Tribolium castaneum: one gene and its partner. The protein of the gene in region 2 interacts with the protein of the main gene of each other region in a biochemical or structural test. Links are inferred from orthologs where the notes say so. Each region holds a gene or a part of one and is shown on either strand. Other genes may lie near its edges.

What was found.
Region 1: the proteins of UbcE2M (region 2) and Cand1 form a complex in vitro, tested with the Homo sapiens proteins (2 studies listed by BioGRID). The link is inferred for Tribolium castaneum from reciprocal best matches to the Homo sapiens genes UBE2M and CAND1.

Annotation. Positions count from the first base shown.
Region 1 is NC_087403.1:5,728,086-5,733,321, forward strand, and holds the end of Cand1 (cullin-associated NEDD8-dissociated protein 1), read right to left. Parts: coding exon 5,034-5,236; intron 4,990-5,033; coding exon 4,697-4,989; intron 4,647-4,696; coding exon 4,484-4,646; intron 4,435-4,483; coding exon 4,179-4,434; intron 4,128-4,178; coding exon 3,340-4,127; intron 3,289-3,339; coding exon 2,988-3,288; intron 2,942-2,987; coding exon 2,629-2,941; intron 2,581-2,628; coding exon 2,124-2,580; intron 2,077-2,123; coding exon 1,888-2,076; intron 1,838-1,887; coding exon 1,594-1,837; intron 1,547-1,593; coding exon 1,400-1,546; intron 1,351-1,399; coding exon 1,220-1,350; 3' UTR 1,075-1,219; downstream 1-1,074. UniProt on the Homo sapiens protein: Key assembly factor of SCF (SKP1-CUL1-F-box protein) E3 ubiquitin ligase complexes that promotes the exchange of the substrate-recognition F-box subunit in SCF complexes, thereby playing a key role in the cellular repertoire of SCF complexes.
Region 2 is NC_087394.1:37,270,621-37,274,445, reverse strand, and holds UbcE2M (NEDD8-conjugating enzyme Ubc12), read left to right. Parts: upstream 1-1,966; 5' UTR 1,967-2,138; coding exon 2,139-2,244; intron 2,245-2,290; coding exon 2,291-2,385; intron 2,386-2,436; coding exon 2,437-2,784; 3' UTR 2,785-3,064; downstream 3,065-3,825. Other genes in the region: uncharacterized protein LOC659302, read left to right, coding at 30-197; msk (importin-7), read right to left, coding at 3,400-3,464, 3,518-3,661, 3,717-3,825.

The sequences.
Region 1 (5,236 bases), on a different chromosome or scaffold from region 2:
AACATATATTTTTTTAATTACAAAATAAAGTAACTGATTACTGGTTACTAATACATGTCTTTTCAGTTCGGTTTTACCGCTTTAATATTTTAAAACGGCAGTGGCGCGAAAACAGGGACGGGCCCAGAAATAATTTTGAGGGGACCACCAGCATTTTTTAAAGTAAATCGAAATAATCATGAAGCAAAACTATTGAAATTTTGGAGTTGTATCTGAATTTACGTAAACCATAATTTTTTATTTTAACAATCTTAAAATAAAACTCCGAAACATGCTCCCCTAGATCGGCCCTGCGCTCAAAAAAATGTTCCGTTAGTGAATTTCCTGAACTTTGACCTTGTAACTAAACCAGAGACGATAACAACGCAATCTTTGAAAATTACGTAATAAAAAACTTTTGTATTTACTAACACACCTTCAAAGGGCCGGTAGTTTAATCATTTAATTTTTTAAATGCTTCATTTTGACAATATAATGACGTTCCTGACGTCATTTACTTTTGAGTAATGACATATTTTTTTATTTTTCTTAATAATAACTGACCTTTTTGATTAATGTTTTAGATAGTACACATTTTTATCTTTTTGGAAAAAAAAGAAAATTAAAAAATTAAAAAAAGACATTAAGAGTATTACACAAAGAACTTTATTTTTCGATCTGGTTTTATTTTCTGAAAGGGTGATGGTTTTTTTCTAATTTTTTTTGTGTTTGAGTGTTATATTATGTGTTGCTGCCTATAAAGTAGGTAAGTCAGGAACAAAAATATAAAGCCCATTATGTTTGATTAACAATATTTTTTAAATTTTATTAAATAATTTTTTTGTTTTTACTTACTTTTCTTATTATTACAAAAAAATAAAGATGTGTACTATCTAAAACAGTGAAAAAAAAATTAAAAATGACGCCACAATTCAAAAACGAATGACATCATAATTGTAGCATTTAAAAAAATTAAATCGGCCTGTTTAAAGATTTTTTTGAAAAATGACTAGTAAGAAAGTTATGAATTTAGTGCGTTACTTTTTTTGGTTGTCTATATTTTGCTTATTTCTAGTGAGAAAATAAAAAAAAGGATGTTGAAACACAGCTTTATTAATTCAGATCAATTACATAGATTTGAAAAAATATGAAAAATATGAATGAACAAATGAAACACAACGAAAATGAACTAGAACAAAAAATTGAACAAACGTCGAAAAAATAGTAACTTTGAAAATGTCTAACTCTGATCCATCAAAAAGAAATCGTTAATATTATTAGCGGAATCTTTCTGGATCGAGTCGAAAATCTGGGCTAGGTCGGGAGAAGTCTTGATTTGGGTGACAAATTCGTTCAAGTGTTGGTTTTTATCTGGAAGAAAATAATTAGAAAAAATCAAATGAAGTCAAAATAGATGTACCGGCATCAGGAATGCTTAAAAGAGAAACAACAGCCCGCAGGGCACTTCTCTTAAGTTCATCCTGTTTCTCGTATTCCTGCTTAACCGAATTTGCTTTAACTTTCATGGTACAAGTTGCCTTCAAGGGCTCGACCAGTCTATCTAAGCCTGCAAAAAAACAATCAAACGATGTTCAAAACGCTGACATGACTCACTTTGCAATACGGCGCCGGGGCATATTTGAGCTAGTCGCGACACCATTAAATAAGTTAACATTTTAATATCGTAATGGTCCTTAAGGCCAAGTTCAACGTGATTGATAAATTCGAAAATATCGATTCTGTCCAAACAAGAATCAAGCAAGGTGTACATGCACTCGAACGCTGCCTTGCGCAGGTCCAAGCCGTCATCAACGGTATGCTTGAATGGGCCCATCTCAACTTCACGGATTAGCTCTCGCTGAAATAAATAACTAAACACCACCCTTAATCTCAAACACTGACAAATACCTTAATGTTAGTCTCGTGGTACAGACGGGGCAAAATCGTGTCAAGCAAATCACGGATCAGCGAGGGCTTGTTGTGAGCAGCCGAGTTGAAAGCCACAAGCGCCACTCGTCTCACATTCAAGTCGGGATCCTCCAAAGTATTCAAAAATTCGCCAATGCATTGCCGCAACAATGCGTCAATTGAAGCAGGCTAGAATTAAAAACAAGTCACTAAAACTAGACAAAATTGTACAAAACCTGGTCAGAAATCGTAAACTTGATCGCCGTCACTATCGTCGTGCGCATGAGCGAGGACTCGGAGCCCAGCGATTCCTTCAGCTTCGGCAGCAAATGGTTCGGGTCAATCAGAGTCAATTTGCCCAAACATTCCGAAACCACGTTCCTTGTCCCTTCCTCCTCACTCTCGCAGTGGCGGTACAAAGTGTCCCAAATCGCGGGCACGAAAGGCAGTAATTGTTGGATGCCCTCCGGTGTTGAAGACAGACACGCGATGACTTCCTTCAAAGAGTGAAGCAACAAGTACTGTCTTCGGGGCTCGTTCTCATCCTCGGTCAGGATAAACGGAAGATATTGCTGCAAGTTCCCGATGGCAATGCTGCCCAAAGCGTAGCTCGCAGCGGACTTGACTTCTTCAGACACGGCGAAAAACGCCTCGGAGATGATTTGCTCCAAGTTGGCAAATCCGGTCAAATCGCTGGAAAAGCAAGTTTAAATTTCGATTAGTTTTGGGCTCACTACGTACATTTCGCGCCCGATTTCGCCGACCACGAGCAAAGTGAAGATCTTCTGGGCGTCGTGGCGCGAAGAGCGAATTTCGTTGATGAATTGGGGGACGATTTGCAACGCTTGGTGTTGCATCGTCACTGTTATAGCAGCCACGCATTTGGCCAACGAGTAATAGGCTTGCTTGTGGATGACGGCGTCACCGGCCCCAGAACCCTGGCTAATGCTGATCGGGTGAACGAGAAATTGCAGCAAGTCGTTGTAGGACAATCCCGGAAGGTTGCATTGGACTAGAGTTTTGAAGAATTCCAGCATGGAATTCAGGGCGGAACCTATGAAACATTTGACCAATTCGGGACTTGAATTACGGGAAAATACCTTGCAGAAGAGGCGACTTCACCAAGACCAAGATTTGCGGGAAGATGTTTGTTGGCAGGTCTTGCAAAGCCAGGGGGTGGTATTCCGCAATCGACTTCAAGATCACCAAAGTGTACTGGGCTATGTGCAGGTCGGACTCGTCAAGGAGTGGTGGCACTTCCACTATTACGTGTTGGAGTAATTCCACGTACATGTAGACGTGGTAATTCTTTATTAAACAATCAATGAGTTGCAAAGTACTTAGTTTTAAAGCACGCTGGTTTTTACGCAGGAAGAGCCCCAAAACCGGCACTGCTTCGTCCTAAATCAGAAAATTGTTACGTTTTTATTGCGCAAACCCGGGAGTTATTACCAAAATCGGTAGTTCGATGCCCAATGGAGAGCCCGCAATTTTGGTCAACGCTTTAACTGTAGTCAACCTCGTGATTTCGTTACGTAATCTATCGAGGAACAAAGGAAGACAGCAAGACAATTCACTCCCTAGGTGATCACCCAGGTTGCAAATAATTTGCCCCATGGTCGAGATAGCTTTTTCCTTGACCTCTTGGTCTAAATCGGACGTCTTTAAACGCGATAAAGTGCAGAGGTAGATTTCCTTCACAAAGGGCGTGAAATCGAAGTTCGAGTCGCGGTCCAGAGGACGAATGACCTTGACCAGCTCTTTCAGAACGTTCAAAGCTTCAGCTGTGATTTTATAAAAGTTATCACCCACGTTAGCTATGATGTGCGGTAGGAGGATATTGATATGGGGATGAAAAACTTCAGGAGGGTGCGATGCCAAAAGACACAGGAGAAACGACAAGCCGTCAATTTTCATGTTACTGCTCCCATTTTTTTCACTCAGTGAAAATAGAATACCGGGAATCAGATCACCAATGTGGTGCGTTAAAGCGCCCGGTAGGACATTGCATAATTCTTTTAGGAGCTGGAAGCAGTCTTGGCGCGTCTTCGTGCTCTTTTCCTTCATTTGCGACTGCACGCCTTTCACAATCATTGGAACTTGCTGCTGGAGCAAGTAAATGGGCATCTCCTCCTGCTCCATGGAGTTCGGATCGATATTCACGTTAACAGTCGATTTTGTTTGTCTCAAAAGCGCGATGTAAGCACGGAAAATATCTGATTTCACGTTCTCTTCCCGCTCTGTGGATAATTCAATCGCTCGGCGTTCGCACACAATTTTACCACACTTACCTTTAAACCGGGAGATTAACACAGGCGACAAAACCTTGTAAAACTCAGACAATAACTCATGGCGAGTGCAGATGATGGATTCCAAGCACTTGGCAGCTGCACGTCTCACTTTCCAGCTCATGTCATCGTCATCGCTGTACTCGTCATTCTCCTCTTCTTCCTCGTCATCGTAAGCCCCCATGGCTCGATCATCCCCATCTTCGTCGTAGTTGTAATTCGGGTCATGAGTCATGTAATTTAGGCACAAGTCTGTGATCTGCGAAAAAATTGCTCAAAAACGTTGAGACCACGATTATTTAACTTACGGCGCTGATTTTCGGGGTGATTTCTTTGGGACAACGATTGATAAAACTCTCAAAAGCTTGTAAACAAAACTCTCTGGTCTCGTCGTCTTCCACAGCGCTCCACATTTGGATCAAAGGTACGAACTTTTCAATATGTTCGCCGAACTTGTGGCCCGACTGTCGGCTAAAGTGGTGGTTTAAGTGGCAATTAAAACAGGCAAAATTTCGACTCACCACACGGCTGCAATGCACTGCACGTAGGTGCGAATTTGGGAGTTCTTGTTATCAGTTCTCATCCCGTTGTACAGATGCTCGATTAGTTTATCGTACAATGCATTGTTGCACGAGAGAACTAAGTTACTGCAAGCTGCAATCGTACGTTTGCGGACTGCTTGCCGTTGTGAGCATAACTGAGGTAAGAGGGCGTTTAATATGGAGGCATGGTAGGATTGCAAAACGTTGCCAAAGCGGTATAACAAATCCGTGACAATGTCGAGAGCTTCCAGTTGCACGGACACGTCGTCTTGCTGCAAAGTTTCGTTGATTTTTGCTACAACGTTGACAAACGTACCCTTTCGATAGCAGTCGTCAAACGACCGGTGATCCGCTTGCAAATGTTTCCGGAGAGGCCCCCAGGTGCCTGTGGCAGTTCAGCGATAACCGTCTTGAGCCCAATGCTGGAAATATCCCGCAGTTGCTCCTTGTCGGAGACCATGTTGGTGCACAAGGCCTCAACAATGGTCTCCACTTGGAATTCCTTAACTTTGTTAACTA
Region 2 (3,825 bases):
ATTGTGTTTTGTAATTATTTGGTTTTTAGCTCACTTGGGCCGATTTTTACTGGGCGACCGTTTCACAAGTTTTCGATGTGGTTAACGGGATTGACACTCTTGCCAATTATCCGGAACTGAAGGCCGCAAGAGAAAGAGTTAATTCTTTGCCAGCCATCAAAAAATGGATCGAGGTGCGACCCAAGACTGATTTCTAATAACTTTATTTATTCTGTTCAGAAATTATGAAAAATATATGTATTACTTTTAAACAAGTGTTTTTTTATTAATTCCGCTGTTAGAGATCTATTGTTGAGTCATTCGTTTCAACCCAATCTCCGGTGGGAGCAACCTTGATGAATAACAACATCATAGAGATGGTAATTATGAGGAAGTTTGTACGTACATACGGAGTATTCCAAGGTTTTCTGTAAAAATAAATCTTTGTAGCGTATCTTATCTACCCTAAAAACTCTAGACAGAGCAATACATTGAATACTTGTAAATACTGAGAAAAGTTAATAATTTTTTTGCGGTGCAAAAACTTGGAATACTCTGTATATAAATATTTAAGTAATTCCTGGAGAAAAAAATGGTTAAATACAAAAATTTGAATGTGCTATAGGAGATGTAAGTGAGTAGTAAGTTTTTAATTTATTTGAAGGTTAAATAATCTAGGAAAAAAACTGTTATTCTTTTATGCAAACTCATCGTGATTTACATTTACAATATGCTCCCAAATATTTTTTTACACCTCATAACAGCATGGAGAAAAATATCTACTTTGACTAAGTCTCATTTAATTCGTAATAATTGTTGTGATGGATCATCAAAAATTAAATGTAATGACTGGTGCTTTTTAAAAGGAACTGATGTGATATAATATTATTTGCAGATAATATGCAAGAATAATTGCACAATAATTTTTATTTAACACAATTTTTTTCCTAAAATTAGATATAGGATCAAACAAACAATATTAATAAACGAAAAATACAAGCTTTTTAAATTAATGAATTATTGATTGATAACTAGAAAAGCCATTTCTCTGAAGTCGTCTGTAAAATGGTTACATTACAGACCATATTTATTTGGGTTCAAAATAGTCTCTAGAGTGTCGTACTTTTCAAAGCTCATAAAATGTGATAACTGATGACGTGATGAGTGATGAGACTTTGTGTGAAATGACTGCATTTCCAATTTTTTTTAAGAAACTTGGAAAATTATCAATTCAGAAAAGCACTAAATTTGTTTTTTACACTCAGATGAGTCAGATGGTTATCTCCTCTGCTATCTATCACTTTAGACAACAAACCCCATATTCATGAAAACTCAATTTTAATTTAAATATTACAATATTTTAGGCAAAATGCTAAAATATTTTTTAATTAATAATTTCGTAAAAAAATTAAAATTGCTCAAACCGTCGCGTCGTCTGCGTTGATAGTTGAATGACAATTAACGAAGACGACGCGACGGCTCAAACCCGTGGCCCAAACTTTGCAAAAGTTGCTCTGCGCGTCAAAATGTAGTACCGTATAAAATTTCAATAACGATGCTTTAAAATATTAGGGTTGGATTTATATTAACAAATAAATTAGAAATGTGTACACTTACCTTTGAGTAACTGCAAACATTCGTTTCAATGTTCATCTGTGGTCTGGTGGTCAACAAACTAATACACAAACTAAAAACACAATAACGAACAGTTCTAAAACGCTCCTAAACCGAAATAATTCGTTTCACAGAATAATTTTACGAATTTCAACAACTCAAGACGCGAAAAATCCGCAGAGGATGACAAACGCACCAGTAGTACCAATGTAATAACAACGGCACGAAATAAATTAATTTAAATAGCTTTGAACATAGTCTTCTGATGGTCTGCTTTATTGATTTGGATCTTTTGATTAAGTGCTTTGCAGAAAAATTCTTAGCATTAGCAATAAATGAATTTTTTAAATTTTTTCATTAAGAATTCGTTCCGATGGTAAAGTAAATTCCTGCATGTCCCATTGACAGTTTTGACATTGACAGATGTGTGAAAAATTCTCTTGCAAAAAGCAATCGAATAAACTCGACTTTCCCATGTTTTTGTAAAGTGTGCTCGCAGTAAATTACATTGCTCTGACCCCTCACCACCCCTGCGCCAGCCAAATATGATAAAACTATTCTCGCTGAAGCAACAGAAAAAAGATGGAGAAGCCTCACCGCGACCAGGAAATCAAAAGAAAGCCTCTGCAGCCCAGTTGAGGATTACGAAAGGTTGGTTGTGAGTCATTGCGCCCCCATTTTGACCCTCCCTTTGCAGATATCAACGAGCTGAACCTGCCCAAGACCTGCACGACGGAGTTTCCCGATCCGGACGACTTGCTGTCTTTCAAACTGGTGATTTGTCCGGATGAGGTTAGTTGTGGATTAGTGTGTGGGGTTGTGGTTAATTGGGGGGACGTTTAGGGTTTCTACAAGACAGGGAGGTTCGTATTCAGTTTCAAAGTGGGCCCCAATTACCCGCATGAGCCCCCCAAAGTCAAATGCGAGACACAGGTCTACCACCCCAACATCGACCAACAGGGCAACGTGTGCTTGAACATTTTAAGGGAGGATTGGAAGCCCGTACTGACTATCAACAGTATCGTCTATGGACTGCAGTATTTGTTCCTTGAACCCAATCCAGAGGATCCTTTGAACAAGGAAGCGGCTGAAGTGCTCACGACCAACAGGCGGCTGTTTGAGCAGAACGTCCAGAAGGCGATGCGTGGAGGGTATGTTGGCAGTACTTATTTCGACCGCTGTCTCAAGTGATTCTTATGTGTAAAGAACTTATTTATAAGTTTACTGTTTTATGCTCGTTGACGAGGACACTCGAGTGATTCTTGCATACCTAATTACTAATTTCGTTTATTAAAGCTACCACTATGTTGTTTTATTTGGCTTTTTCATCTCAATCGTTCTATTGTGATCATCATATCTCACTCCAGCGTAAAGCACCACAAAGCGGTGTGTTGTAATTTCTCCTCAGTGAAATGTAACTGATTTAATTAAGAAAATAGATAATTTTTCATAATAAAAATCTACAAAAATTCGAAGCAATTCTTTATTAAAATGCAATAACTTAACACCTTTCAGTATATTATAGAAATAATGTAATTTACTACATTGTCTTTCCCTAAAGAAGAAAACAAATGAGACAAAAGAGACACAGTCGAAAAATAATTACAATTACACGGAAAATAAACTTCCATTTAAATCTATATTAGGTAAATTTAAATCGTTTACATCCGTTTTTTTTTTGTTTAATAAAAAGGCACTTAATAAAAATTAAAAAAGATTAAATTACCAACTGTACATCATTTCACTGGTCTTAACAGTCAATTTTACATTCAGTCACAAAAATTTTACACACCACGTCACATATATTCATGACGGTTTTGGAGCGCCAAACTTAAAAGTTGTGGGTACTTCATGTTGTGTAAACATAAAACCTGGACAAACAAAATTAATTTGTTATTCCCCCAACACTATCATATAATTTTACCTCCCGATTGTTCAATTCTTTTACTTTCTTTGGCTGCTTTCCTCTGATCCGCTAACACACAAATATCTACCAAATTCTTCTTTTGTTGTTCGGTTAAATTGGCCGTGAGGGCATTATACCATTCAGGCTGACAACGTTCCAATCCTTGAAATTTTATTTTATAAATCTAAAAAATTGAACAATTAAACACGTTACTTACTAGTCATGACTTCTTTGAAAACATCGTATTCATCTACAGGACAATTTTCTTCATCTAATGGTGTTGTATAGGCTTCCAACATCGTTTCTTCATTCGGTTCGAAATCAGA